5 linked regions of the Sus scrofa genome follow. The protein of the gene in region 5 purifies or fractionates together with the protein of the main gene of each other region. This does not show direct contact. Links are inferred from orthologs where the notes say so. Each region holds a gene or a part of one and is shown on either strand. Other genes may lie near its edges.

Region 1 (6,146 bases), on a different chromosome or scaffold from region 5:
TTTCTGGGTTCCTTCCTACAGTTTTTTCCAGATTTTCTAGTAAAACAGATTTTCTAGTTGAGAACCTAACATCAATACCCACCCATCAACAATTTCTTAGTCTTTTCAACTCTAAGCATTTGTACCAACATCTGACAGAATTCTTTTCTGGTAACAGGACGCTTAAACTGGCTATGACATTGTCAATATCTTACCTACTGTGACGGTTTAAAATATGTCCAAATTCTTTGTTACTCCTCCCTTCACAAGGTGGAGCCCAATTTACTTCCCCTTGAACGTGGGCTGGACTTAGTGACTCACTTATAAAAAACAGAATATAGGGGAAGTGACAGTGTGTGACACTGAGACTAGGTCATAAAAAGGCATTATGGCTTCACCCTTGCTGTCTCTTGAATCACTTCCTCTGGGGACGGGTAACTGCCAAGTGCAGAGACACTGAAGCAGCCCTGGGGAAAGGTCCCTGTGGCGAGGAAATTAAGACTCCCTTCCACAGACGTGGGAGTGAGCCAGGTTAAAAAGTGATCCCTGAGGGGTTGTGGCTCAGCAGCTTAAGAATCTGACTGGTGAGGATGCAGGTTAGAGCCCTGGCTTTGCCCACTGGGTTAAAGGATCCAGTGGGCTGTGGTGTAGGTTCCAGACAAGGCTCGGATCTGGTGTTGCTGTGGCTGTGGTGTAGGCCAGCATCAGCAGATCCAATTCTACCCCTAGACCAAGAAGTTTCATGTGCCACAGGTGCAGCCCTTTAAAAAAAGAAAGTGATCTCCAGAGTCACTGCTGGGGCTCCGGTTACTGCTACGGCACTGGTTTGACCCCTGGCTCTGGAACTTCTGTGGCCAAAAGAGTGATGGCCCAGCCCCCACCAAGACTTCAGGTAATGGTAGCCCTTGCTGAAATCTTGACTGCAATCTTTTTTTTTTTTTTTTTTTTTTTTGTCTTTTTAGGCCCACACCTGAGGCATATGGAGGTTCCCAGGCCAGGGGTAGAACTGGAGTTGTAGCTGCCGCAGCAATGCAGGGTCTGAGCTACGTCTGTGACCTACACCACGGCTAACAGCAACACAGGATCCTTAACTTACTGAGCGAGGGCAGGGATTGAACCTGCATATGCATGGATCTTAGACGGGTTCGTTAAGCACTGAGCCACGGGGGGAATTCCTTGACTGCTCATCTCTTAAAGAGTCTTTCTGAACTAGAATCACCCAGCTAAGGTACCCCCAGAGGCCAGACCCCTCAGAAACTATGAGATAATAAACTATGTGTGATTTTTTTTTTTTTGGTGTTTTTTTTTTGTCTTTTTCTAGGGCCGCACCTGTGGCATATGGAGGTTCCCAGGCTAGGGGGTCTAATCAGAGCTGTAGCTGCAGGCCTACACCACAGCCACAGCAATGCAGGATCCGAGCCACGTCTGCAACCTACACCACAGCTCATGGCAACGCCGGATCCTCAACCCACTGAGCAAGGGCAGGGATTGAACCCGCAACCTCATGGTTCCTAGTCAGTTTCGTTAACCACTGAGCCATGACAGGAACTCCAACTGTTGTTTTTAAACTGCTCACTTTCACATTAATTTGTTTAACATCAATAGGTAACTAAGACCCCTAGGTCTTAGTTAGGGGAAGATAGAGATTACTTAATAACGAATCACTCTTGGTTCTCCAATACTCTGAGAGATACTAGAGATATTTCTAAAGTATTTCCACTAAATTTTAGCATATAATTATTCTTGTGAGGGAGTTCCCGTCGTGGCGCAGTGGTTAACAAATCCGACTAGGAACCATGAGGTTGCGGGTTCGGTCCCTGCCCTTGCTCAGTGGGTTAACGATCCGGCGTTGCCGTGAGCTGTGGTGTAGGTTGCAGATGCGGCTCGGATCCCGAGTTGCTGTGGCTCTGGCGTAGGCTGGTGGCTACAGCTCCGAAGACCCCTAGCCTGGGAACCTCCATATGCCGCAGGAGCGGCCCAAGAAATAGCAACAACAACAACAACAACAAAGACAAAAAAAAAAAAAAAAAAAAAAAATTATTCTTGTGAGCTCAGGTAGTTTAGGAAAGTTTAGTTGGAAGGACAAACCCTCTTAACTAGTAACTAGTGCGCATGATCCCACTTTTCTCACCATAATTCATACTAATAGAGAATAACTGAAACTAGTCCCAATTGGTCAAATATGCACCTCATTCCGGTCTTGAAAGGAAAAGCCATTTACAAATATACCATCACCACGCCCTGTCCCTAGGTTTGCAGAAACTGTTCCTTAGGCACTAATTAAACTTAGGACTGTACTAATACACTTTTTTTTTTGCTTTTGCTTTTTAGGATCACACCTGCAGCATATGAAGTTCCCAGGCTAGGGGTCAAATGAGAGCTGCACCTGCTGACCTGCACCACAGCCAGAGCCACACCAGATCTGAGACCTATCCCACAGCTCACGGCAATGCCGGGTCCCCGCCCCACTGAGTGAGGCCAGGGATCAAACCTGCATCCTCACCATGGATACTAGTCAGGTTCCTTCCCACTGAGTCCCGGTGGGAACTCCTTTTTTAATGTAATACATTCCCTGCAAGGGAGAGATTTGTTGATGTGCTAACTTTCCCAGGGAGCACTTTGCAAAGTACTGTTTTAAATCTATCATTTATGATGCTGTCAGAATTACGTATTTTACTCTCATTTTTTTTCTCCCAGTGTCTCCATTCACCCCGGAACAAAACTGATTTACAAACAAATTCTTACCTGCAGCGGTCTCCGTAAATACAGTACCCTCGCTGAAAATACTTGCACACTACACCGTATGGACTGTCAGAGAGGTCATGTGAATAGCGACAGTTATCTCCTTCCTTACAAACCCCATGCATGAAATACCTGCGAGACAAAGAACCACAAGTCGGATTACGAAAGACTGAAGGCAGCACCCAAAGGAGTCATGATCCACATATTCTACCAGTAACAAAGGAGCACTCTAGACTAGCAGTGTATTCTGCTATTCTACTCCATCTACGCGAACACGAAGGAAGCAGACCTAGCCTGTATGACCATAAAATTATCCAGGGTGGTACCACAAGAAGGCTGCCTATAGATACGGTCCCCAACTGAAACTCTCAGATGGTCTTTTATCTTGTCTGCAGGTTAAATGTGACCACCCTTCTCATTTCACAGTCCCACAGAGGTAGCTGCTCGTTTTCCACTAACTTACGTCTTCTGTCAAAGAATCAAAGAAGCAAGAAACAACATAAACTGGAACAGGCCAGACTACTCTGTTTCACTTCTTCGAGAAACCATTTTAATTCTTTAAAAGCCACACATGAAAATACAAGTGAAATGGGAAGTCCCACCATGGCTCGGCAGTCACCCAACCCATCTAGCATCGATGAGGATGCAGGTTCAGTCTCTGTCCTCACTCAGTGGCTTAAGGATCTGGCATTACCATGAGCTGTGGTGTGGGTCACAGACACGGCTGGGATTCCCATGCTGCTGTGGCTGTGGTGGAGGCTGGCGGCTACAGCTGATTCAACCCCTAGCCTGGGAACTTCCATATGCCTTGGGGGCGGCCCTAAAAAGACAAAAGAAATGAAAAAAAGTAAAATATATTGCAAAGGTAGACGCAAGAGAAATCACTTTATTATATCCTTCACATGTATCCCTAACTAGAAGTTTCTGGAAAACCAAGCATGGACTAGGAATTTGCTAGAAATGTAAAATTTCAGATCTTACCTCAAACCTATTAAATTGGAAAGAGGGAGGAGCCAAGCAGTACCTGTAATTCTCTAAGAACCAGGTGGGGATCAGGGGTAGGGTATTTTCTATAGATAACTCTGATCTTGTAAAATAGGCAGAACCAGCCCCCACAAATCACTGACTTCATTCGTCAGAGGTCACTTTTTTATTCTTTGGCCCTCTATCAGTCTCTTTCTCTTGAGCAAAGTTAAGAAGATTTAATTTTGGCAGGCCACCATTCCCCCAAATATCCATCTATGTACAACTAGTACCGAGTAAGGAAAACAGTGTCTATTTCCTTGGTCTAAATGTCACAGTTATCTAGACATCGTAGATACAATGGCGGTAGGTAGAATCCACTTGTTAACTGAATTGAATGATACACAGAAAACAGATTCATGTAGTCACCTAAGGAGCTTGGAAGAAGGCTGCCTCAAATTGAAATGTGACATTACTAGCAAGTAGGTAACACAGAAAAAAAATGTAACATCTTAATGGGAACAGTTATAATTATCAAGATCCTAGAGTGCCCTAGGGTTTCAGTCCATAACAAGACAGCACAGTACGCAGTTCAGTTTGTGGCTCAGTGGAAACAAATCTGAGTAGCATGCATGAGGATGCAGGTTCGATCCCTAGCCTCGATCAATGGGTTAAGGACCCCACGCTGCTGTGAGCTATGGTGTAAATTGCACACACAGCTCAGATCTGGCATGGCTGTGGCTGTGGCACAGGCAACAGCGGCTACAGCTGTAATTCGACCCCCCCGGCCTGGGAACCTCCATATGCTGAGGATACAGTCCTAAAAAGACCACAAACAAACCAGTAGGAAGTCAAATTCTAACTATAATTAACCTAATTTCAGCTGTCATCAAACTAACAGTCTAACTTTGGTCTGAACTTTTGCTCAACTCCAGGACAACTTTATGAAAGCTATGAAGCTGTCTGAGCATCATGTAAAGAAATTTTTAGTTAAACCACTTGTGCCAATAGGTAATTTGACTGCATAAAGAGATTAATACTTAAAAAAAAAAAAAAAAAAAAAGCACAACCACCAAACAAATCACTGATAATTTCACTGCATTCACCACTAGTATAATCATGCTTCAAAGTATCTCTAATATTATCCACAGTTAAATGTTATTCCTCTGAAACAGTCTCACTGAATACAGCTGCTTACGGCCCCATCCGCAGTGGGAACGTTCAGGCTCACAATTCTAAACACAAAACAAAGCTGTCTATGCATATCTTCAATGTTTCTTTGGGGTCAGTCTGAAGTCAGAGATGCATATACTGCTACAGTTTTCAAGCTTGATAAAATATCTACCCAGACATCTCCAACTGGGTAGGTTTAAGTCCTCAATCTCAGGCACAAATCTCAGCATTTTAGGTTGTTCTTAAATCTCATTTTGCCATGCCCGCAATCATTTGGCGCACTTAAGCTTAGTACGCTCTTCGTTATGTCACTATCTCCCATGAATAAGGACCTGACAGCTGCTGACATTAACATTTTTTCTTTTCTTTTCCAGCTGCACCAGAGGCACATGGAAGTTGCCAGGCTAGGGACTCGAATCCAAGCTGTAGTTGCTGCAACACCAGATCCTTTAACCCATTGCACTGGGCCGGGGATCAAACCCAAGCCTCCACAGCACTGGAGCTGCTGCAGTTGGACTCAAACCACTGTGCCATAGTGGAAACTCCTCAACACTGTTTCTTCAGGGAGCTTAATTCCCTCACACCTGCACTTTACTGTTCAACACCTATACCACTTTTTGACATTCATGATGGTAAAAACTGCTCCTGAGAATCCAAAATGAAAGAGTAAAAATCAGAGTCAAGAAATAGACTGGCTTGGAATTCCCGTTGTGGCTCAGTGGTGAACGAATCTAACTAGGTAGGAACTCTGAAGTTGCGGGTTCCATCCCTGGCCTCGCTCAGTGGGTTAAGGATCCAGCGTTGCTGTGGTGTAGGTCGAAGATGCGGCTCGATCTGGTGTTGCTGTGGCTCTGGCGATTCAACCCTAGCCTGGGAACCTCCCCATATGACGTGGGTGCAGCCCTAAAAAGACAAAAAAACAAAACATACAAAACAAATAGACTGGCTAACCTGGGACAGTGTAGTATGGCCTATGAGTACCTTTTGACCAAGAGCATAATACAACAATGAGCAAGAATGAAGTGAACAGGGCACCCTTGTGGGGAAATAGGTCTAGAAAGCCAGGCAACAGATTTCTGCAGGGCCTCTTAACCCAAGTTATTATTTTTTGGCCGCTCCTGTAGCATACAGAAGTTCCTGGGCCAGGGATCGAACCTATACACCACAGCAGTGACCTGCACCACTACAGTGACAACGCCAGGTTCTTAACGCAATGGGCCACCAGGCAACTCCTAAGCCAAGTTATCTTAAAGCAGCCAAGAAATCACCAAAAGATCTGAAACAAGGAA
Region 2 (6,146 bases), on a different chromosome or scaffold from region 5:
TTTATTGCCACACATTTAACCAGTTTTTCGCATACCTCTTTTTTGAATGATCTATTCCTTATTGATTAGAACTTCTACTTTTATCATACTGCATCCTTATACTTGAGTGTTAATTCTGGACTTTCATGATATTTATTACCTTCTCTCTTACTGTTTTATTCCCATGCTTAAAACACTTTTTTTTTTTTTTTTTTTTTTTTTGTCTTTTTGCCATTTCTTGGACTGCTCCCATGGCATATGGAGGTTCCCAGGCTAGGGGTCCAATCGGAGCTATAGCCACTGGCCTATGCCAGAGCCACAGCAACTCAGGATCTGAGCCGAGTCTGCAGCCTACACCACAGCTCACAGCAATGCCGGATCCTTAACCCACTGAGCAAGGGCAGGGATCGAACCCGCAACCTCATGGTTCCTAGTTGGATTCGTTAACCACTGAGCCATGACAGGAACTCCTAAAACACTAATTTTTTAGTAGCTAGTCTAGTTAATTCCCCATTTCTTTTTTATGTGTGGAGTCGTCTTTGCTATTCTTGCATGGTTATTTTCTCTGAACTTTAGAATCAGCATGTGAAATTACACAAATCTTGATATTTTAGAGATGACATTGAATTCATGAGCTAATGTAGAGAAATGAATTTTCTTGTAACTTGTTTTATTCAATAACAAGGTTGTCTTTGAGTTTATTGTAGTTTGCCTATTCTGTAAAGATACTTTTCTTTTTTTTTGTCATTTTAGGGCCACACCTGTGGCATATGGAGGTTCCCAGGCTAGGGGTTCCATTGGAGCTGTAGCCGCTGGCCTACACCAGAGCCACAGCAATGTGGGATCTGAGCCATGTCTGTGACCTACACCACAGCTCACGGCAACGACTGATCCTTAACCCACTCAGTGAGCTCAGGGATCGAACCCTCATCCTGATGGATGCTAGTTGGGTTTGTTAAGGGCTGAGCCATGACAGGAGCTCCTAAAGATACTTTTAATGGTTGCAGAGTATTCCGTCATGTGGCTGAACTGCTCTGGAACAGAGAAAAGATTCCAAAAGTACACTCCAGAGATGCTTGAAAATTAAGCTTTTGATGAAGGCGATACTTCAAATATATACGTGAAAGACAAATTGTGCTGCTGACATAGCTGGCTAGTTGTGTGGGTGGGGGAAACAAAGACTGGTTCCTGTCTTACTCTTTATGCTAAAATATATTTCAAATATATCAAAGACTTACAAGTGAGACAATAAATATGAGGGGGAAATTTGACAAATAAAAATCTTAGGTTGGTAAAAGATGTTTTAAGCAAGACATGATACCCACAGGCCCTAAAATAGGAAATTAAATTTAATTATATATAGATTATAATATTGAGGGGCTCATAAATTTATATGAAGTAAAGTAAAAATTAGGCAATTTGTAATACATGGCAGTGAGCTTATTTAATATCATAAGAGGGGCCTCTTAAGAATGAGTAAGAAAAAGACCAGTGTTTTAATAGAAGTATTTGGAATGACTCTGAATAGGTACATTTGGGGAAATGTATTTAACCTTACCTATAATTAAATGCAAATTATAGTTTCTAGAAAGATGTAACAGTGGGCACTTCTAGAAGGTAGAATGGCAGAAAGGCTTGTTTATCTTCCCTTGTGCTGCTGCTCCCCTTGCTCTGCCATAGAGTTACATAGAGACTTAAAATGGGTCCGAGTCCCTGCTCTTGAAAATTCTGATATAATTAGACTGAAGTAGAGCCTATGCATGGTATTTTTAAGCCTCCCAAATAATTCTACTCTAGTCATGGCTGAGAACTACTCTTTTTTTTTTTTTTTTTTTGCCTTTTCTAGAGCCGCTCCTGTGGCATATGGAGGTTCCCAGGCTAGGGGTCTAATCAGAGCTGTAGCCACTGGCCTGCGCCACAGCCATAGCAACGCTGGATCTGAGCCGAGTCTGCGACGTACACCACAGCTCACGGCAATGCTGGATCCTTAACCCACTGAGCAAGGCCAGGGTTCGAACCCGCAACCTCATGGTTCCTAGTCGGATTCATTAACCACTGCGCCACGACGATGGAACTCCTCTTTTTACTCTTTATCCCTGTGCATGCTTCTCTAGTACTAAGGTACTGTCAAAGACATTAATGTGGAGAAATGCAAATCATGTAACAAGTGAAAAGCAGATCATAATTCTGTTAAAAATATATACATACTTTGAAAAAAGCAGAAGTTATTTTCATAGCATTTACTTCTGGGTTGCAGTGACCTTGTCCCATATTTCCAAAAGGTTAAAACAGAAAAATATAATCATGTTTTGCTTTTATAATGAAAATCTTTAGCTTAAAGTTTTAGGGTCTTTCCTCTCACCTAGATAATCAACCATGTATAAGGGTAGGGTCTTGTTTTTGTATATAAATTAACGTTTGTTAATATATAATCTAACAGTTATGGCATTTACAAAATGAAAATTTCATTTCATCAAAGGTCTTAACTGCAAAAATTTTTAAAGGAAGGACAGAGAAAGGAAAGCAGCCAGCAAGGTGCTTGGAAAACTGAATTGTCATTATTGACTGACTCTCATTATTACCCAGAGTGTCCTGTTGATAAATAATCCCTGGTTTTTTTTCTGGTGAGGAATTAATTCACTGTGTATGAGAAAGGTAACAAGTGTCTTTGCATATCTGATTCAAACAGAAAATGTTGCTCATTTAATATAACTTTAAACTTTGGAATCAGCCACATAGGCACATAAGCTTTGCTGGGTTTATGGATGATGCGTAAACTGACATCAAGATAAATTCCTGGACAAGAAGTGATTTTTTCCTTTAAAAACTTTTTTTTTTCCCCCAAAGCAACCTAAACTGGTCCCTCAGATGGTGAAAACCATCAAGTCTTCATAAGCTGCTCCCTTGGTCTTTAAAAGGAGAACTATCAAAGTCAGTTTTATAAAACACAGACTTTCCTAGAATGTTTTTTTTTTTTTTTTTTTTTTTTTTTGTCTTTTTGCTATTTCTTTGGGCCGCTCCTGCGGCATATGGAGGTTCCCAGGCTAGGGGTCAAATCGCAGCTGTAGCGACTGGCCTACGCCAGAGCCACAGCAACGTGGGATCCAAGCCGCGTCTGCAACCTACACCACAGCTCATGGCAACGCTGGATCCTAACTCACTGAGTGAGGGCAGGGACCGAGCCCGCAACCTCATGGTTCTTAGTCGGATTTGTTAACCACTGAGCCATGACGGGAACTCCCCCTAGAATGTTCTAATCACCTTATCAGTAAAGATAAAATCTTGAACACTGAAAGTGAATATTTAAAATACATTTAAAAATTCATTTTAGTAACAGCTGATACCATAATTCACTGATGTAGACAATGACAGACTTATTGTGATTATTTTAGATATCTTGTAGGAACTATATCTGTAAGTTCTAAGGCAAGTGAACCAAGTGAGGGGGAAATCAAGCAAGGGAAAATAAGTGGACTCCTGTAGTCTCTTTTGGAAATAGGGACCAAATTAATTGACTTCTCTCTTTCTCTGTGGTTCCAATTGGGGACTTCTCCCCTTATTTCTCTTCTGATTTGTATGATAGGCTTAATTTATTTTCAGCTTAGTTGGAGGCTATCTATCTATATAAAACCAAAAATCTGTTTCAAAGTTCATATTTAGGCAAGAGTAAAATATTTTATAGAAAACTTGAGTAAAAACAGTGCTTTCTTAAAAAGTCTATAGGACAATAAGGTAAGGCTGCGGTTTTTTGTTTTTTTAGTGCTAGTATACAACAAACTTCATGAAATCTATGTTGCTTTAACTTGTTACAAACTTGATCTAATAGGTTTATTTTAATCTATTCCTAATCAGTTTCTTAAAATTAGCAATTTTAGTGTGAGAAGATGATGCATATTCTGGTCTCTACAATAGACAGAAGCACTTTTTATTACAGAAAATCAAGGTGTTGGTACATTATACTTGCCTGTGTATTGTTTGTGGCCAAACTGACAATGGTCATCTTGTTTGACTATTTAAAAAACAAAGCAAAAGAATGTATATATATGTATGACTGGATCACTTTGCTGTACAGCAGAAATTATTACAACATTGCAAATCAACTATAATAAAAAGTGCATCAAAAAAACACACAAAGCAATGTGAAATTACAAATGGTATATTTTTATTAGATGTCGGACTGAATATGAAGTTAAAGATCAAGCTGCTAAAGGGGATGAAGTGACTCGAAAACGATTCCATGCATTTGTACTCTTTCTAGGAGAACTTTATCTTAACCTGGAGGTAAGGTTTTCTTCTGTTCAGTACTGACAAAGCCTGAGAATACAAACTGATCTCAATGAGTGATTTGTATTCATATTAGTCCTTCACAACATTAAGAATGAAATGGGAAAGGAAGAAAATAATGTCTCAGTACCGCCTTATGGTAGTGTCCTTTCTCTAATGTACCAAATGTACTGTTTTTGTCTTCCTGTTCATGGCAGGATGTTGGAAAATAGTCACTAAGCATGTTAAAGTCTTTATGTACTTTTGGAAAGCCATGGTTTACATGTGGGTTTAAGCTTTTGGAATATAGATAATCATGCCTTTTTGAATCCTTGCATCATAAGTATTAATACATTTAATATGTTGAGTTTCAGGTGGTGACTTAAAAGCAGCTTGCCCTGTAGAGCACAAGCTTTGGATAAAGAGGGGGGAGACTAGAGTTTGTGGATCTTTTCCCCTTAATTACCCACAGTAGCTCTTTTTGGTCCCGTTTTTATATATTAACCTTCCATATAAACTGTATTTGTACAAAGTCTCCAGCTTAATTGTTGGTATACTTGAGTGTATGCTTGTTGGTAGGCAGTGTAAATGCTGAATATTACTTTGTAATGTATTTGCTTGATTTTTTTTTTGGGGGGGGGGCGAGTTATATCTGGATAAGCATACCTTCTTAAACTCTGATCTTTTGAGAACTCAGTATTGTAAACTCCTGAAAGGACACATGAACCCATCATCAAATGTGCATCACAGTCAGTGCATTTAAAAGGGTTGTGTCCAATCTCATGCCTCACTTATCCCTTTTTACCATAGAAGGCCTTATTTTAAAATAAAAAAATCTCATGCCTTAATCTTTTTCAGGTTCATTTTTCTTTTTTTCTTTCAGGGCCACACCCAAGGCATATGGGAGTTTCTAGGCTATGAGTCAAATTGGAGCTGCAGCTGCTGGCCTATGTCACAGCCACAGCAATGTGGGGTCTGAGCCATATCTGCAACCTACACCACAGCTTACCCGCTGAACCACAACAGGAACTCCTCAGTTCCATTTTTGTATAAGCCAAATAAGAGCACCAATCTAAAATGTGCCTTAAATGAAGAGTCACTTTAAGAATGTTGTCATGAGTTCTCTTGTGGCCCAGCAGGTTAAGGATGCGGCATTGTCACTGTAGCGGCTTGGCTGGACACTGTGATGTGGCTTCAAAATGGCCCAGGAACTTCCACATGCCACTGGTGCAGCCAAAAAAGAAAAAAAATGCTGTTGTACTTCCCATGTAGAAGTAGTGATGCAGTGTGTGGGAAGTATAAAGATAAGATATGGCTCCTGAACCTACAGTTCTTCAGGCCAGAGAGCTATGATACCTCTTCCATTCTGATGAAGGTTTTTTTTTTTTTTTTTAATGATTTTCTTTCTTTCTTTTTTTTTTTTTTTTTTTTTTTGCTATTTCTTTGGGCCGCTCCCGCGGCATATGGAGGTTCCCAGGCTAGGGGTTGAATCAGAGCTGTAGCCATTGGCCTACGCCAGAGCCACAGCAACGTGGGATCCGAGCTGCGTCTGCAACCTACACCACAGCTCACGGCAACACCGGATCATTAACCCACTGAGCAGGGGCAGGGATCGAACCCGTAACCTCATGGTTCCTAGTCAGATTCATTAACCACTGCGCCACGACGGGAACTCCATGATGAAAGTTTTTTTTAAAGAGTATAAAGAGCTATGTGTCCCCCAAAAGGGGTGAGCTAAATAGGCTAGCGAATGCCTTATGAACATTATAGAGGCTCAAGTTATTCTGAGCATATGTTTTGTATTATTTATTTGCTTTTCATTTTCTTTTGTCTCAAAGATCAAAGGAACAAATGGACAGGTTACAAGAGCAGACATTCTTCAGGTTGGTCTTCGGGAGTTGCTG
Region 3 (6,146 bases), on a different chromosome or scaffold from region 5:
GCAGAGCCCCTCCAGGTTTCACGTGCACATCCAGACTGCAGGTCCCTCACACCCACAGCTGTGGCCCACATGGGAGACCAGCCAGTCTTTTGCCTTTTCAAGTTTTTATTTTTATACATTTTTTTTGTATTAAAAAGAAAAGCATAATTACCACAAATTACAAAGGACTAAAGCAGGACTAGAATAATGAATGAATCACTTCAGCCTGGAAAGCAGATACTCTCAATAATATTAATGTTATAATACAAGCTCATTCAAGTATTTTACATTGTTTTTGTCCTTTTAAATGGGATATCCTAGCACGGTAAAGATAATGGACTATGAGCATAAGTGGAACCTTCTCCGCAAAGCCAGATGACAAGCTTTCCTCTCCAGTCAGAAATGGGCTGTGCATCCTCATCTTCTCTGCCTCTGCTGTCGACACGGCTCAAGGAGAGAGTGGGGCTGGGGCAAACCCAGGGACCCCTCCACACAGGAGCTACTCCGGGGTCCCACTTGGGAGGGCACCAGATGATCCAGACCACTCTACCCAGGCTGTCAACCAGCCCCCAACACCCGCCCCCACCAGCTAGCTGTTTCCTCCTTGCCCCTCCTCCCCACTGCCAGGACTTTTTGAGCAGCTTTCTTTTGTTAAATCAGTTATCAGGAAAGGGAAAACAAGAGCTACAATAAAACTAAACAAAAACTTAACTTTGACATGGGGGCTTCACACCTCGATCTGAGCCCAAGGGGGTGCAGGCTGGGGCAGCCCTTCTCTACATGGTAGTGCATTTACTCCTGGATTTAGGAGCAAGTGAGAGAAACCTGCCCCTCTGCACGGCTGAGGTGTACAGACCTTGTGATGTTTGATGCTCAAAAGTGGTGTTGGCATGGACCCATCTTGGGAGGGCACGGGATGAACAGAAGGATTTAGGCAGGCTGTTGCTTTGTTGCTCAGATCTTGGATTCCCCATGGAAGATGGTGGGTATGAAGTGGCAAGCCCTGATGGCCCTTGCTACTCCTGGCATGCTTGTCACAGATACATCGGTCCTAAATTCAAGTGTCTTCAGAAAGTGAAGATGTAAACTACTCTTCGCAACAATAACTCCTAACATGTTACAAAAGGAAAAAAAAAAAAAAAAAAAAAAAAAAAAGGAAGAAAAACACTCTCCCCTCCCCCCATCCTCAGCCTGTTTTGAGATGAAGTCCTAACCTCCCCACCCAAAGGGGCTGCCTCTTTTTGGGTGTCTGTGGGGAGGATCAGGCAGAGAATGGCAGCCCCCAGGCCTGGGAGGAAGCTCTAGCTAAGAGCCTTACCCCCACACCCCCAAGGCTTCCTTGTGCCCCCAAACCCCACAGAGGACAAACACTGAGGTTTCTGTGGTGCTGGATACAGTACAGGGCTGAGAGAGACCCAAAGGAAAAGGGTTGGAATGAAGGGAAAGAGGACGGGGTGCAACAGTCCAGTGTCTGGTACATTGTGGGGCAGGCACCAGACTGGGCAGGGAGAGGCCTTAGACCCCACTGTCAAAGCAGAGGTCACTCAACCTTGGCTTTCAAGACAACTGGCTCACAGGAACTGAGATGGGCTTTCCCATACTAACCACCGGGAGGACAGAGATGCAGGGAGGGCACCGGCCAAAGAAATGAAGTGCCCAAGATGGGGCAAGCCCTTGCCAGCCTGAGATACTGTCTCCTCCTCCCGACCTCAGGGCCCAACAGAGGAAGCAAGTGAAAAAAACGCCAAGAAATCTGAGTGCATGGCTACTGCCACCACAGGGCAAATGTGTCATCACACCCGCACCTGGCACGTGGCCCAGTCTGTGAGGGTTGGTCTTCAGTCACCCTCCCTAGCTTTGGATGCGAGGAGACTCCAGCCAATCCACTGTCAGTCACAGCCCGAGCCAAGCAATCCGTGGCTGGAGAAGAGAAGTCGGGGAGACCCCATGTCCACATACGCCGTCCTGCCAAGGGGCTTCTCCAACCGGCAGGACGCCCCCACCCTCAAAGCTTCCTCGTCTCCTTCGCAGGTGGGGTCCACAGGAGGGTGGGTGGAAATGGCTTGCGCGGGAGGGGAACACAAGATGGGCATACCCACCCGGCCCAAGGGAGAACGGCATCTTTCTCCACCTTTTATGAGACAAAGCCTCCTTGAGGTCTCACCAATCTTTCATGGCAACACTTAGAAATGTTTCCAAGCCTCAGCTGTCCAGTGTTCAGTTTTCCCCTCTGAGGTGGGGGAGACGGTCGAGCTGAGGACGAGTGTGCCCCAGATCCAGGCCAACGCTGTCCTCCAACAGTTTGAAGCAAACTTGGCCTTGGGGTTCCAAGGGTAGGATGAAGGGTGTCACAACAGGATGGGGCCTGGCGTGAGGCAACAGCAAGCAGAGCGAGGACACAACAGTGGCAGCAGTGTACAGACACAGGACGTCAGCTTCAAATGATGCAACAGCAGGGATATTTCAGGCACGGCTCTGATCTGAGCCGCTCCCAACTCTCTTGCCTACAGGCAGGAGGCACTGTACATGCAACTCAGTCCAGAGAAAGATCCTAGCCAATCCAGCCCAGGCACATCCAGAGAAGGTGGGAGCTCTTCAAGTTGACTCCACCGAGGAAAACAGGCATTTGGGTATTTCAGATTCTCACTCCACAATAAGGCAACTTTTAAAAAAATATTATTTCCAAGAACAAACCAAAAAAAAAAAAAATTAAAAAAAAAAAAATCCAAGGGTAGAGGAAAGATATTTTTTTGTGGATTAGGTGGGGGTTTTCTGATGCTTTTTTTTTTTTTTTTTTTTTTTGGTCTTTTATGGTCGATTTTATCTTTTTTTCCCCCCCCCATTTTCCCAAGGATGGAAAGGTCTGAGAAAAATAAAATAAATCATCTTTCAATAGTCTTTTCTGGTACGAGCAGCGTCCTTCTGGGCTGGGGAGTAAGGGGCACGGGGAGAGGGGAGTGGAGCGAGCCCCTCCCCTTTAGATCCTTTGGTTTCCTTCTCCCAGAGGATGGCAGAAGGGTGTGGTGGGGACGGCGGGGAGAGAACACGGTGACGGCAAGCCCCAGATGGTCAAGGGGCCGGTGCTCGTGGGGTCCAGGGACGCTGCCAGAGCCTTCCATGGGACAGTGCTGGGCAATGGGGCCCCACAGGGCCTTCTTGTGGGCTGCATAGTTGGCTTGAAGGGGAGCAGGAGGCGGCTGGAAGTGGGTTGCGGCCTACCAGCCGCGGGCAGGGCTGCAGAGTGATTTTGGTAATCCAGACGAGCTATCAATAATTTAAAACTTGATATATATATATATATATGTATATATATATAAAAAAAACTTTTCCCCCTTCCCCTCCCCCCGAAGCTAGGATGTGAAGAAGAGTCATGGAGAGAGAAGGGGGAAGGGATGTGTGGAGGCTCCTGCCCAGGGGCACCCGATAGCCCAAATGGTGTACATACTGCTACTCAGCACAAAGGCCCGTGCTAATGACCCTAGGCCTGTCCCTCCTCTGTCCCTTCTCCCGGGACTGGGGACCCCATGGACTTTCATCTACTCCCTCCACCCCTTCTCCCCCCCCAGACCCCAGAGCTAAGGGGCTTTTCACTTTCCCAAAGTCTGTGTGTCCGAGTGCTGGCTTGTCCATTTAGCATCTTCCCGGGTGGGCTGGCCGGTAGGTGGTGTGGGGGGTTGGCTGACCATGGTGGAGGGCCTGCTGGAAGACTGGGAGGGGCACCGCTTCCTGCCCTCACCGCTGCCACCTCCTGATGCCACTGGGTGTCGCTTGTGGTTGCCCTCCTCACCCATGGGGGGCTGCAACAGAGGAGGGAGTCGTAAGTGATAAGGGAGCACTATCCACATCCCCTTGCTTGCCAGAGCTGTTTAGAGACGCCCCCTATTTCCCAGCTCCCAGGGTAGATAATGAATAGGCTTCTAACTCTCAGAAGTAGTTACTAGTCTCACTGAGCACAGCTCCACACCAAGATCCAAGCTTTGTGCTGATTTCTACGTATTCACTCATGGTCACTTTGATGGACACGTGACCATCTGAATTCACAGATAAGGACAATGAAGCACAGAAAAATGATTTGTAACTGGTGAAGACTAAATCTGGACCAGGTCCATCTACCTTTGAAGTCCTGGACTTTATCTCTACAAGTTTCTGCTTCCCTTCTAAGAAGGGGTCACTGCTCAAGAAATGATAAATGGAATGTCGTTTACAATATGCTGAGACTCCGCAGTTCAGAAGGCCCAGGTGTGCCTTTATCCCCCTTGAGGCCCTAAAAAGGACACTCCTCTCCCACCTCCACCCCCTCCGGATTTGGCTTCAGCCACAGCATCTGGAAGTTCCCAGCCAGGGATGGAATCTAAGCCACAGCTGCGGTAACACCAAATCCTTAACTTGCTGGGCTAGAGTGGCAACTCCCAAAGGGTCAGACTAGGATCCAGTCTGGCCTCACGACTGCCAAAGGTCCTGTAACCCTGAGGACACTTCCCTCCCTTTCTGGCCACCAAAGCTGAGCCGTTCTTATTCTACCCTCAACAAGTCTTCCTATTACAAGGCTTCTCTACACAGGCGCTCCCCTCCAGGCCCGTACTAGAGAAGTCTTTCAGGACAGAAGTCAATAGACTCATCATCCCATCAGGCAACCTGAGCAGCACTGCCACTACTTCAATGGGTGGCCATGGGGTTCAGTTCATCCACTGCTACAGGGATGCTGACAATAAACCCTGCTTGCTTCACATTAAAAAGGTTAAATAAGGTCAAGGTAAAGGGCCTAGCACAGTGCCTGACCCATAGTAAACAATCAATACCAATTTTTAAATAACTATTATTTACTTCTATTTGCTCTTTTCGAAAAGGTTTCAAGGAACTAAGACGACTGGCATATCCTTACTACATTATAAATTCTCTAAAGGAGAAAGTCTTACTTATCTCTGGGGTCCCTGCAGCACCTACAAAGAACCAGTAGCAATAACTCTGACCCACCACTGGATGTCACTGTTGAGTCACTGCGTCAGGAAGACGTGGATGGAAGGGCAAAGAACTGAATATAATTTATAAACTTCTCCGGTTGGAACTTATCTCTCCCAGAAAGAGTAAAACATTAACACTGGGTACTCACTGTCATTAATCAGCTGTAACTAGGCACAGCAGCAAGGAGGGTTGCGTGATAAGAAGGAAGGAGCACTACGATGTTTTAGGCACATCCATCATAGGAAGGGGAGGGAGGAGCAACCACATATCCTACTATTAGCCTTCGCCACCTACTCCTCACTCTTATTTTACAAAAAAACCCTAAGACCCAAACGGGAGTGGGAAGGGTCCCCAGGCTAGTGGCACAGCTGGGATCAGAACACAGGTATCCTGATCTCTGGTCCGGTTTTCTTTTCCTGGACAACCAGGGTGGGGAAGATGAGAGACTTCCACTTACATCTACTCTGAAGTCTTCGAGGCGACGGAATTTGCCGAGGTATTCTTGAAGTTTGGGGTCAATGTCCAAATTTTTGGCTTTGGAATATTTCAAGAAGGCCCAGAACTTCTCCAGCCCATAGAGTTGGCCTGCAGGGAAAGAGGAGAGAGGTAGAGAGAAGCTGGGTGGCTGACAGAGGGAGGTGTGATGTGATACAGACCAGGCAGAGTGCAGGGCAGAGAACATAAGATCAGGATGACCAGGGCTCAAAGAGCCTCAACTCTCTTACCAGCTTCATAGTCCTTCACGGTTTCTTCCTCAAAGTCCTTGAAAATGTCCAGCCGAAATTTCTTTTCCAGGCCATAGCTATAGTATCGAAAAAGGCACTCCAAACCATACCTGTAGGAGAATACAAGTCAGTAAAACCAGGACACAGTTTTTTTTTTTTTATCTAAAACAGGAACTGTACCTGGATTCTAGATAAACTATGAAACAGTTTAAACAAGTGGATTGAGAAAATGGTAAGCCTTCTTTGAGAAGGCTAACATTAAAGGCGAATCTAAATGTCTGTCAAGAACCAGCAAACTTGGGCTAAATGAGTTAACAGCCTACTACCCATACCCACTTGCTTATGAAGTATCACACTGGTTGCTTTCTGCTACAAGAGCAGAGCTGAGCAGTTGCAACAGATACCTTATGCCCCACAAAGCCTAATAAGATTTGTTGTGTATCTCTTATGGAAAGTTTGTCAATCCCTGATATGAGCCCT
Region 4 (6,146 bases), on a different chromosome or scaffold from region 5:
TTAATTTTTAATAGACAATTGAATTATTTCATATTCAAAAAGTAAAATGATAGGGATTTTAAACTCACTATCCTTCAACAGAATAGTGGCAGAGAAAGCTTTCTATCAGCAGATCCCAGTGGCATCCCTTCCACAAGCTCATGCACACAGGCTTCCTGACTGTTCAGTCTGGACCAGTCAGAAAGACAGTACAAGTCCAGTTAATCAAAATACAACCGTGGTCCTTTTTTAAGCATAACTGAACAACAACAACAAAAAAAACGAGCTCCTTCAAGAAAAACAGCTGATTCCAAAAACAGGGTAGAAACTGGAGCAGAAAGAGTGTAAGATGAGCCTTTGTGCCACAAAGTGCTTCCTCCCCTCAAAAAAAAAAAAAAAAAAAAACACCAAAAAACACCAAAAAATAAAAACCAGCTTGAAGGGGTTTACACCTAGCAAATCCGGGATATTTTAAGGCACTGATAAAAAGGTAGTAATTAACTAAATCCTTTAAATAAAGACTCCATTATAGATAGGAGAAAAGGCAAAGTTCTTTACAGAAGTAGCCCAATAAATAAATACAGAATTAGATGATCGCCATTTTTCTGGCCAGGATCAGCTAAGTGCTAAAACTAGTGCATAAAAGTTTGATGACCAAGGTATACGCATAGTCTCAAAGACTCGCCCCCATTAACTGAGCAAGAAAATAGTATTAATGCTACAGTGGCAAAACCTGATGACCAACATCTTAATTGATACTAATAACAGGACCAAATAACATCAAGTGCCTCCCTAATAAGAGGCACTCAAAAACACTTATAACCTAAAACCAATCCAAAGGAAATAATAAAAGAGCCTAAGGAGACATGACAGCTATATGCAATGTGTAACCATAGACTGAATCTTGGACAAGCAAAAAAAAAAAAAAAAAAAAATCACTACAAAAAATATTATTGGGACAATAACCAAAATTTAAATAAGGACTGTAGACGGATAATTTTATAACAGAAATATTTCTTCAACTTGATAACTATACTGGCACTGGAATACAGTTTCATATTCTTAAGAAATGCTCACTTGGGGATCTGAGGATGACTAGGCATCATATCTCCAATTTACTTTTCAAATGGTTTACAATTAAAAATGGTAAGGATTTCCTGTTGCGACTGAGCAGGGTAAGAACCTGACACAGTATCTGAGGGTGAAGGTTCAATCCCTGCCCTCACACAACGGGTGAAGGATCCAGCGCTGCCAAAAACTACAGTGTAGGTTGCAAATGCGGCTCGGATCCAGCATTGCCATGGCTGCAGTATAGGCCTCAGCTGTAGCTCAGATCAGACCCCTCGCCCAGGAAACTTCTGTATGTCGCAGACGCAGCCACCAAAAAAACTTTTTTAAAGTTTTTAAAAAGACATGTACAACTTCACTTTTTTTTCGTACCTCAGGAGCAAGGACAAAAGTCTGCATGAATCTCCTCAAAGCCTGGTTGTTGTTCGAGAGCAAGCCCATCACCTGGACCACCACGCCGTCATTCAGGGTGGCGTGAGCGTCGACATGGCGGATCTTGGTGTGGCAGTTGGTGAAGTTCTGAGCCATCACTTTCCTATGGATTTCCTAAGGAGTCAAGGCAAGAGCTAATACCTTAACACTTACACATCTCCAGGAACAAAACATTTTCTTACACAACAAATACAGAGAATTTACGTGTTCACATTTAAACTACACAGACCCCCCTTATAATTTGTCTTAATAGCATATTCCCAGTGATCACGTTGAGCTTTTTAAAACTAATTTCCTAAATTAACATACCAAAAAATTTCTACAACAGATCCCCAGGCCAAAACAAGTTATCTCAGAGTATCATACAAAGTGAATAAAAGTGACATCATAAGCTTTTCAATGACTACCACATAAATCAAACAGTTACTAAATACCTGTATTTCTCAATAGAGGTTGAAAAATTTTATCTTCAAATAGCAACAAACCTCTTAAGCATGTACCCACCTCAATCTTACGAGTTTTCTGGCTGCTTAAGAGCCTATGTAAAGCTTGCTATACTTACTTTTTGTCCATAGACTGCATCTGCTGGCTTTCCATTTGAATCCAATCCCCCATGGACATAAGAAGAGTTCTTTCCATAAAATCTGTAAAACAGAAAGACACTTGTCATCTTAAAATGTCCTAAGACTACTTATTTATTGTTCATGACCGTTACCTATCTGCCTCCCAGGTACATTCTTGGTGGCAGGAATGTTTTCTTTTTCATCTTTGTATACAATGATGTATCTGTTCCATACATGTGGCAACATGTGTTGAATGAGAGTCAATTTCATCCAAAAAGAAAATCTTTTTTCACTTTTTAGGGCCGCACTTGTGGCGAGTGGAAGTTCCCTGGCTAGGGGTCAAATTGGAGCTGCAGCTGTCAGCCTACACCACAGCCACACAGCATCCAAGCCACATCTGTGACCTATACCACAGCTCACAGCAATGCTGGTCCCTTAACCTACAGAGGGAGGCCAGAGACTGAACCCATGTCCTCATGGATACTAGTCAGGTCTTCTTTACCACTGAGCCACAATGGGAACTCCTGGTCGAGAAATTTTTACAAGTCTGGAACTCAGGATTGGATGATCCAGTTGGGAAGGATTTTGTAGTTCATGTTAGGAAGACCACTCAAAATACAAATTTCTGTTTCCATTCAAAGGAGAACACAGGCAGTTTTGATGTAGATAAGGTTATCTATACTCTACAGTCTTGGAGAATCCTTTTCCATCTAAGAATGCATGGGATGAGTTCTCATTAAAAACCCGGTAAGTCAGGCAAATGGGTTTAATAGTTTAACAATTTTCACTTATGTATTAAGAGCTTCTCCATAGCTTTAATTCATCTACATCCTCAACTGCTTTCATTAGTACTGGTTAGGAAAGTGCCAACCCCACCCCAACACACACACACACACACACACACACACACACGGGATGCGGTAATTCAGGGATAATTACTACTAGGATTACTTGACACCTGTACTCCAGATGAACAGTTTTTCATGAATGAGCCTATATATACATGTCATTCTACATCCTGTTTTTCCTCCTGCCCCCGCCAAAAGGGATGGATCTGGGCCCTTGAAGATCCCAAAACTGCCTTTTAACTTTTAAAAGTTATTAAAGGCTGCAGCCAGTCAATCAGTTCACTGCTGGCTAAGCCACTTTTCACTGCATCGAAATGTAACTCAGAGATTAAATGTTTAAAAAAAAATGAATCAATAAACAATACTGACAAGAAATATATTAATGTATTTGGTTAGTTTCAATACCTGCATTTTAAACTCCAAATTTATAACTTCTAAGGGCATAAAATACAATTTTGACAAAAAAGCAATAAAAAGGGGGGAAAAAAGCTTACAGATTTGTTCCATCGCTCAATAATTGTGTGGATACCAGCAAATTTTCACCCCTTAGGACCTTCATTTGTGAAAAGAAATTAACTTCATATACTACAATGCCTTACTAGAAGGTTTTTACAAAGATCAAGAGGAAAAAGGAGTTCCTGTTGTGGCTTAGCAATAAAGACCTGACTAGTATTCATGAGGACACAGGTTGGATTCCTGGACTCTCTCGGTGGGGTTAAGGATCCAACATTGCCGTGAACTGTAGTGTAGGTCACAGATATGGCTCAGATCCCGCACTGCTGTGGCTGTGGTGTAGGCCAGCTGCAGTGTTGACTCCTCGCCTGATAACTTCCATATGCTGCAGGTAGTGCCCTAAAAAGACCAAAAAAAGGGAAGGAAAAAAAAAAAGGAAACAGGTAAAATAGTGTTTTGGAAATTGTAAAGCCTTTAAAAAAACTAGCCAAGGGATGTTTTTTCATTTTCAGAGCAAGGGCTCAAAATGAATTTCATTTACACCTATTATTCACGTGGTATCCAATAGGCAAGCTAGCCAAGTATAGAAGAAAAAGTAGCTATGGCCCAGCAAATACACATTTTCAGAATTTCTAAGAAATATTCTAGTAAAGTCCAAGACAAAAAAAGGAGTTCCTGTCAAGGTGCAGCGGAATTGAATATGACTAGTATCCATGAGGACGCAGGTTTGATCCCTGGCCTCGATCACTGGGTTAAGGATCCGGCGTTGCCGTGAGCTATGGTATAGGTTGCAGACACAGCTCGGATCCAGCATCGCTGTGGCTCTGGCGTAGGCCAGCAGCAACAGCTCCAATTAGACCCCTAGCCTGGGAACCTCCATATGCCGTGGGTGCGGCCCTAAAAAGACAAAAGAGAAAAAAAGAAATATTCTAGTAAAGTCCAACACAATACTTAAAAGTTTTGTATAATGCACCACTGTTTGTAGGAGGAAATAATGGCAGCAATTTACATATTATTCTTTTTTTTGTTTGTTTGTTTTTTTTTTTTTTTTTTTTTTTCCATGGCACATGGAGGTTTCAGGTAGGGGTCTAATCGAGCCTACGCCAGAGCCACAGCAACACAGGATCCAAGCTGTGTCTGCGACCTATACCACAGCTCACGCAACGCCGATCGTACCCACTGAGCAAGGCAGGACTGAACCCGCAACCTCATGGTTCCTAGTCGGATTCGTTAACCACTGCGCCACGACGGGAACTCCACATATTATTCTTTATTAGAGGATTAAAGTACATGCTACATCCCTGGAAATTAACTTTGTGGATACTAAAATTAATATATGTACTAAAATTAACATATGTACTACCCTTGTAAAATCATCAGGTATCAAGTAAAACAGCTAAACAGTATATTAAAAAAATGTGCAGATAGAGGTTCCTGTCATGGCTCAGCAGAAACGAATATGACTAGTATCCTTGAGGATGCAGGTTTGATCCCTGGCCTCGCTCAGTGGGTTAAGGATCCGACGCTGCCATGAGCTGTAGTGTAGGTCGCAGACACAGTTCAGACTGGCGTTGCTGTGGCTGTGGCACAGGCCAGCAATTACAGCTCCAACTGGACCCCCAGCCTGGGAATCCCCATATGCCGTGGGTGTGGCCCTAAAAAGCCAAATAGATAGATATGTGTGTGAATATTTATGTGCAGATCCATAAAGAAATTGGTACTGGTATTGTTTCACTAAAGACTTCCATCTTTGTTCATACATGTTTTAATTTACAATAAACATAAATCATTTCCATTAAAAAGATACGGCAATATTTTAAAGCGTATCAACATAGATGAATGTCATTATTGGAACAGTCTCCTATCTTCAATTCATTCTTCCATGATTCATGATTCACCAAAAACAGCAAAACAAAAACACAAAAGCATGAATGTTATACACTCATATTTTCAGTTCCCACATACTAAAACATAGCATAAATGCTGCCTGGGAAAAAAAGGTTTTACCTGTGTAGCATGTCTGGGGCCTGGTTCAGCAGCGTGTAATACTGTCTCACAAATTCCCGCCCGACCAGCAGGGGACTAGGCTTCTCCATAACCATTGCTTTGGTCAATTCAACCTGGGGGAGAAAAAAGTCAAGTATGTTCAACTTCAAAGATCAAGCAGAAGGGGAGAAAGCGGCAGGGAGAAGACTGAACCATGTAGCTAAGATCAGCTCAGACTGATGGGACTACTTCAGCAATTCATGGTTTTTAAAAGGAATGAACGTAAGGGAGTTCCCACTGCGGCTCAGTGGTTAAGAACCCAAGTAGCATCCACGAGGATGTAGGTTTGATCCCTGGCCTCTCTCAGTGGGTTAAGGACCCAGCATTGACAGAAGCTGTGGTGTAGGTCATAGATGAGGCTTGGATCTGGCGTTGCTGTGGTTGTGCTGTAGGCCGGCAGCTTCCATTTGACTCCTAGCCTGCGAACTTCATATGCTGCAAGCACGGCCCTAGAAAGAAAAAAAATAAAAAACAAAGAATAAACAAAACACATACAGACCAGTGAGATTTTATACGTTCAAATTTATTGCAATTAGATGAATGCTTGGGGAAAAAACCACTATGAAGAATTAATTCATCATTATTTCCCACATTCAGTTTTCTTTTTTTTTGTTTTTTTTTTGTGGGGTTTTTTTTTCTTTTTGCCATTTCTTGGGCTGCTCCCGCAGCATATGCAAGTTCCCAGGCTAGGGGTCTAATCTGATCTGTAGCCACCGGCCTATTCCAGAGCCACAGCAACACGGGATCCAAGCCGCAT
Region 5 (6,146 bases):
GGATGAGAAGCAAACAAAGCCAAACCCTTTGCTTCTCCCATCCTCCAGCATCACCTACAAAATAAGACCAGTCACTTAGGACAAAGGCGTCCATGTGTTAAAACTGGGTTCCACCGCAATAGTTACCAAGTCCAGGTAAGGGCTTCTCAGCCCAGTCCCACAAGGGACCCCAGACTAACTGAATCACAACCTCTAAAAGGAGGACCTAAGTGTTTTTCTTTTTAGATTCCCCAGGTGACTCTATGGCTAATGGTTGAACCAGCAACCCAAAGATGTTTCCTGATACCTAAAAGTATAGCTATCTCTGGGAACTAAGAGATCCAGACAGTCGTGTTAAGCAATTTACTTGTAGAACTCATCCATTCAAGACTTTGGCGAACAAAACTTTAATAGCTCTTAGCAAGGTTAGGACATGCTTTTGAAATACCACAATTGGGCAGGAGTTAGGAAACCAATGACTGCCACCATTACTTCAACAGGAACAACACAGAACCACCACCAGACAGGCAGCTAGATTCTAATCCTGCTCCAGAATCTCTACCTTAAGAGAAGTCACTGGCTTGCCCTCTGAGCATCAATGTCCAGGATATACTTCAAGGCAAACAGCTACAAAACCACATGTCTACGGGTTCAGATAGTCTCCTACATACAAAGTCATCCACAGGAGGCTTTTTCCTCACCTGAAAAGGTCATTTCTTGCTTTCCCTGGCCTACCAGCACTGGTAGCAATATGACCATGTGTGTCTGGCACCATCCCATCTGTGTCTTAGCTCACTGCCTGGAGAGCCTCCTGACGTGAAGGATTTCGGAGTAAAGATGTGTATTAACCCAACAATTATCTACCATTGAGGTGGATCAGTAAGGTGTGTGAAAGTAATGTGACACCATGATCCTAAAAGTGGTGCCTGGAAAACCTCAAGATATGGTTCTCTTGCTCTTTTTTGGCCAATGCTGTCTTGCCTCCTGTCCTGGTCAGCTAGGCGAGACTATCATTCCTTGCACTGCTGGAGACTCAAGGGGGTGATAAGAAGAAGGGAGGGGGTGAGGAACTGAGGAAATTTCTGATGGCAGCTCTGGCCAACACCCTGCTGCAGCTGATAATGCTCCCAGGTTAAGGGCCAAGCAAGATAGGGCCATCAAGCCTCCACTGGCCCACCAGGCCTCCTTTCTCACTCATTGCCCTAAGAGCTCTCTGTGACACGTGCCACACCTCTGAGGAGCAGGAATAGCGTCTGCATCAGCTATGACCCAAAATATTCAGATGCTGTCAGTTCCCACCACACACACAAAGCACTAAGGACGCACGGCGGCCTGCTCAAGGAGAAAACGCTTCATCTTCAAAAGATGGTTCATACTCACTCACCCGGCTAACTCAGTTGATATGATTATCAAAAAAAATCAAGTAGACAATGCACACTGCAAAACATGGAAAAACAAACTTTCCCCTCCCCTCTCCTCCTTTATGAGACCAGACAGGAAGTTCCCAACCTCTGCTCCAAAATCCTCAAAATACCTCCACTCAAAGAAGTGTGGCAGAGGTGTAGAGACAGGTCCCAAGACAAACAGGAAACAACCCGTCTGGATTTCCTCTGCTCATACTGTGGCACCATCTGTCCCCACACCAGCACGAAGCAGCAAAGAATGGGAAAGATTCAGGTGCTCTGGGAAACACTGAGTCCGATTCATCTCCAACCCTGCCCCATCAGTGCTTGGGAGACAGTGAAATGCTAACCTAATAAAATGTCATTTCTCCAGAGTATATGCTCAGATGAGTAACTGGAAAAGCCAGGAGAAATTTGCTAGATTAATGTAGTAGCTAATCTCAGAAACGGACAAAATTTAGATTATGGAGCTCCTGTTGTGGCTCAGCAGAAACGAACCCAACTGGTATCCATGAGGACGGCGGGTTCAATTCCTGGCCTCGCTCAGTAGGTTAAGGATGGGGCATTGCTGTGAGCTGCGGTGTAGGTCGCAGATGCAGTTTGGATCTGGTGTGGCTGTGGTGTAGGTCTGCAGCTACAGCTCCAATTCTCAAACTTCCACATGCCGCGAGTGCGGCCTTAAAAAAAAAAAAATTTTAGATCCTACTCCTTAGATGAAACAAATGCAATAAACCTCTAAAATAGATTACAACGTCTGCTTCAACCCCAAAATCTCAGTATAAAATACCTTAGCACTGGTGATTGATCCAAAAGGAGAAAACTCTTTCCTTAACTTCTCATCATCAATGGTGTCATCCAAGTTCTTAATGTAGAGATTCACCCCCTGAAGCAAAAAGATCACGGTTAATTGCACTTCTATACCTCATACATTCCTGAAGACGATGATTCTCCAACTATGATCCCCAGACATGCAGTGGTACCTTTGGGTACCTGTTAGAAATATAAATTCTCAAGCCAGAACCTGCATCTAATGAATCAGAAATTTTGGGGCCCAGCAATCTGTTTTAACAAGTCCTGCAGGGGAGTCTGATGCAGTATGAAGCTGAGAAACTACTACCTTAAGACTATCAGGACCATCGATGTAGTCTCAGCATTCCTCACAGCTGCCCTGGCTGACCACTGACCCAGCAGGGCCTCCTTATCACCATTCCAAACAAAGCAGTATCATTTAAGAAAAAAGGAACCCACAGGACTAAGAACAACAGACTGGGAGTTCCCACTGTGGCACAGCAAGTTAAGGATCCATACTGTCTCTGCAGCAGCTCGGGTTCAATCTCTGCAGTGGCTTGGTGGGTTAAAGATCTGGTGCTGCCACAGCTGTGGCCTAATCGAAGCTTCAGGTCAGATTCAATCCCTGGCCCATTTCCACATGCTGCAGGTGTGGCCAAAAAAACCCCAGGAGTTTCCACTGTGGCTCAGTGGGTTAAGAATCTGACTAGTATCCATGAGTTCGATCCCTGGCCCCAATCAATGCGTTAAGGATATGGCATTTTCATGGCTGTGGCATAGGCAGGCAGCTACAGCTCCTATTCGACCCCTAGCTCAGGAACTTCCATGTGCCCTAAGTGCGGCCCTAAAAACAAAAAGCGCCAAAAGAACAGACTAAGGCTTCCAGAATAGAGTCCCTAAAATGAAAAAACCTCCCTTGTCCTTGTTCTAGAATTGCTGCTGTATCTGGTACATATATCCTTTAAGCCTGACAATCTTGGGAGAAATGAGGAAGAGCAGACTCAAGGTCCTCAAAGAGGAAGAAGCCTGCTAAACTAAGCCTGTTTTTGCCAACATCTCATGGTACGTGGCCTGCTGGCGGGCTGGGCCAAGAAAACCTCTCACCTGATAGCGACTAATTCTCTCCTGTTTCAGCTGTTCAAATTTCCGCTTTAACTCAGCCTGCCGTTCCACTTTCTTCTGTGCACGGCCGACAAAAATGACCTTCCCACTGATTTCTTTTCCATTCATCTCTTCCACAGCCTAAAGAGGAAACACATGTCTTTAAATCAAGGTGCGGAGGCAGGGGCCTTGCTCTGGAGGTCTGATTAAGTCCCACTGAATATTCTGAGAGAAGGAAATCATCCCTATAGGGCTAAAAACTAATCTTATCCCGTCTCTGAAGTCAGCTAAGCCAACCCAAATTTCCTCATCAGTAAAATGGGGTTGGTATTTAAATGGACTACTGGTCCAGATGTGAGTAAAAGAATAGTCCAGGTGTATAAACACAAGCATAGCAGACATGAGCCTAGGTTGATCATCTGGCTGTCACGAAATTTCTCAGGTTCTCTTGTGGGTACTGAATCATCTATGCTGAAGGCCTAGCACAATGCTTAACCCATAAGTGGATGCTGTTCTGTTATCGAATCAGCAACTCCAGGCCCTTGGTTCCCTCACCTATGACCAAATGCCTGCCCTATTCTTTCAACAGCCTGGCTAACAGGCATATACCAAGTACCCTGAAAATACTTGTATTAACATGCAAAATCCCTCAGGAAGACAATCCCAGGGCACACTGTACATTACCACTAGGGACTCAAACAATTCAGCTCCACTTTACTATTCAATTCAGCTCCACTCTACTATGTGCTAGCAAGGCCCTGCCCACACACTGGGGCCACTCCCTACAAATTTTTCCCAACCCTTGTGGTACTCTCACCTTATTGGCATCCTCGTGTTTTTCGTAACTCACAAAGCCAAAGCCTTTGGATTTCCCACTGGGATCTCTCATCACCTTGACACTTAAGGTCTTACCTATTACCAAAGGACAGAACTATTAGTAACAGAATCTCTACCACAGCTCAAGGAAAGTAGGCTTCTCTAGGAGCCCACCTGAAGCACCCTCCTGCTGAACTGAGATGGACTCAAAGAAAGAGGCACCTTTGAGTGCATGCCTGAATTTCTAATTCTGATCAAGCTGCTGAGAGGGCCTTGGGGATAAGACGAGGTAGGATGAAGCCAAGAGCCGAAGCCTGGAGTCTATTCCTATCTACCCTGTGGCCTTTGTCATGCAAGGCATTTTACTTCTGCCTCTAGGCGCCCCCATCTCTTAAGTAAATAAAAACAGACAAATTCCAGGTCTACTGGACTATGAAAAGAGACACATAGGGCAAAAGACCTCAACTTACCAAACTGGCTGAAGAGCTCTTTCAGATTCTCATCATCCACCTCTTCTCCAAAGTTTTTGATATAAACATTGGTGAATTCCTTGGCTTTGGCTCCAAGCTCAGCTTCTCGCTCTTTTCGAGACTTGAATCTACCCACAAACCTAAAAAGAAACCATGGAAACAGTCATCACCCAGAGGAAAAGAACTTGATTTCCAGGGGCCCAAGGCAACGCAGGTTAAAGGCTGACAGGAGAGGTTAAAACACACATGTCCCCATCCAACCACCAAGAGCAAGCTCAGAGATGCCCCAACTCCCCAGCAGAAAAAGAAAAGAGGCAGGACTGTCCTGCGAGGGCCAGCCCCAGGGCCCCCAGCTCAGACCAGGGCTCCTCCTACCACATCACACTGCCTTCGTGAAGAAACCTGATGACCATGTTTTTAAAACGTTCATTTCTGTGCATCTATGTAAATGCATAGAAAAGGTCTGGAAGGATACAAACCAAACTGTTAACACTGTTAAGCCTAGGAGTGAGGTTGCTGGAGTGAGCCAAGAGGGAGCCTTTGTTTTTTCACTTAATTCATTTTGGTGCTGTTTACACTTAGCAGGAAAAGGTATCCACACATTAAGAATCTTTAGATTTCTTCCTAGTGATACCTTTAGAAGACCTAACTACCAGATACATACATATCATCAATACAACCCATCCGTTCAATATCAAAGGACAGAAATGACTTTGTCATAGCCAGGATTTGTTTTTATTGTCCCTTCTCCTCTCCCTGCATGGCTTAACTAAGACCCCATCTCTCCGTCCTGCAACCACACCAAATCAACAAGGTCTGTTATGAATAGGGTTCTGCAACCAGATGGGATTTTCCATTATAACCAAATTAAGCAGTACTGTGGAGCCAGCCTTGTATTTGAAGGCCACTGAGTCATAAGTTAGCCAAGTGGAGGGGACAATTTGGCATCAATCCCTGGCAAGTGACCCCATGGACAGACCTGAGTCAGAGGAAGGCCAAGGTCACACGACTAGTATAAAGCTCCTGGTCAGTCCAGGGCCCTCTCCACTCTGCCGCTGGCCAAGACCCCCACTTAAGTGGTCTTAGAGCTGCCTTCCAGCCAGCCCCAGATGCTCACAAAACCCAAAGACAGATGCTTTTAAGGGAGAGGCGGCAGGCCGGCCATGGCTTGGGCAGGAAGCCCACCTTGGCGAGTCAAAGGGCTGCCACAGCTCGGGCAGGGAGACTCACCAGCCCTGGAGTGGAGAGGTAGGAGCAGGCCACTCTTGGGCCGAGAGAACCAGTAGCCGCCTTGTGTGTGCCAGTTAATACCGAGGTGGGGCCACGGCTGGCTCATGCGATGGCTGTTGCTCCGGACTGGGACACTCACACTTTGCGGTCATTGAGGAGCATGCCGTTCATCTTCTCGATGGCCTTGTCGGCAGCCTCTTGGGTCTCGAAGTGGACAAAGGCATAACCCTTAGAGCCGTTCTCATCACACACCACCTGTCAAAGACAAGGCGGGCCATTCAGCACCACTGTTCAGCCCCAGAAACTTGAGAGCTGTGTGGGCTTGTGCTCAGGACCTATGAGAAGCCTCTAACCCATC

Evidence for each region.
Region 1: the proteins of PABPC4 (region 5) and MKRN1 purify together in Homo sapiens (affinity purification with mass spectrometry; 3 studies listed by BioGRID and IntAct, with this or other methods). This does not show direct contact. The link is inferred for Sus scrofa from reciprocal best matches to the Homo sapiens genes PABPC4 and MKRN1.
Region 2: the proteins of PABPC4 (region 5) and PAIP1 purify together in Homo sapiens (co-immunoprecipitation; 3 studies listed by BioGRID and IntAct, with this or other methods). This does not show direct contact. The link is inferred for Sus scrofa from reciprocal best matches to the Homo sapiens genes PABPC4 and PAIP1.
Region 3: the proteins of PABPC4 (region 5) and LARP1 purify together in Homo sapiens (affinity purification with mass spectrometry; 3 studies listed by BioGRID and IntAct, with this or other methods). This does not show direct contact. The link is inferred for Sus scrofa from reciprocal best matches to the Homo sapiens genes PABPC4 and LARP1.
Region 4: the proteins of PABPC4 (region 5) and G3BP1 purify together in Homo sapiens (affinity purification with mass spectrometry; 4 studies listed by BioGRID and IntAct, with this or other methods). This does not show direct contact. The link is inferred for Sus scrofa from reciprocal best matches to the Homo sapiens genes PABPC4 and G3BP1.

Annotation. Positions count from the first base shown.
Region 1 is NC_010460.4:9,339,313-9,345,458, reverse strand, and holds part of MKRN1 (E3 ubiquitin-protein ligase makorin-1), read right to left. Parts: intron 2,854-6,146; coding exon 2,725-2,853; intron 1-2,724. UniProt on the Homo sapiens protein: E3 ubiquitin ligase catalyzing the covalent attachment of ubiquitin moieties onto substrate proteins. These substrates include FILIP1, p53/TP53, CDKN1A and TERT.
Region 2 is NC_010458.4:28,111,955-28,118,100, reverse strand, and holds part of PAIP1 (polyadenylate-binding protein-interacting protein 1), read left to right. Parts: intron 1-4,148; coding exon 4,149-4,260; intron 4,261-6,080; coding exon 6,081-6,146. UniProt on the Homo sapiens protein: Acts as a coactivator in the regulation of translation initiation of poly(A)-containing mRNAs. Its stimulatory activity on translation is mediated via its action on PABPC1. Competes with PAIP2 for binding to PABPC1.
Region 3 is NC_010458.4:68,390,788-68,396,933, forward strand, and holds the end of LARP1 (la-related protein 1), read right to left. Parts: intron 5,777-6,146; coding exon 5,667-5,776; intron 5,527-5,666; coding exon 5,399-5,526; intron 3,777-5,398; coding exon 3,567-3,776; 3' UTR 92-3,566; downstream 1-91. UniProt on the Homo sapiens protein: RNA-binding protein that regulates the translation of specific target mRNA species downstream of the mTORC1 complex, in function of growth signals and nutrient availability.
Region 4 is NC_010458.4:71,261,146-71,267,291, forward strand, and holds part of G3BP1 (ras GTPase-activating protein-binding protein 1), read right to left. Parts: intron 5,464-6,146; 5' UTR 5,446-5,463; coding exon 5,351-5,445; intron 2,124-5,350; coding exon 2,042-2,123; intron 1,594-2,041; coding exon 1,420-1,593; intron 1-1,419. UniProt on the Homo sapiens protein: Protein involved in various processes, such as stress granule formation and innate immunity. Plays an essential role in stress granule formation.
Region 5 is NC_010448.4:95,387,822-95,393,967, forward strand, and holds part of PABPC4 (polyadenylate-binding protein 4), read right to left. Parts: intron 6,044-6,146; coding exon 5,928-6,043; exon of another isoform or gene 5,789-5,927; intron 4,699-5,788; coding exon 4,559-4,698; intron 4,185-4,558; coding exon 4,090-4,184; intron 3,414-4,089; coding exon 3,276-3,413; intron 2,266-3,275; coding exon 2,170-2,265; intron 55-2,169; coding exon 1-54.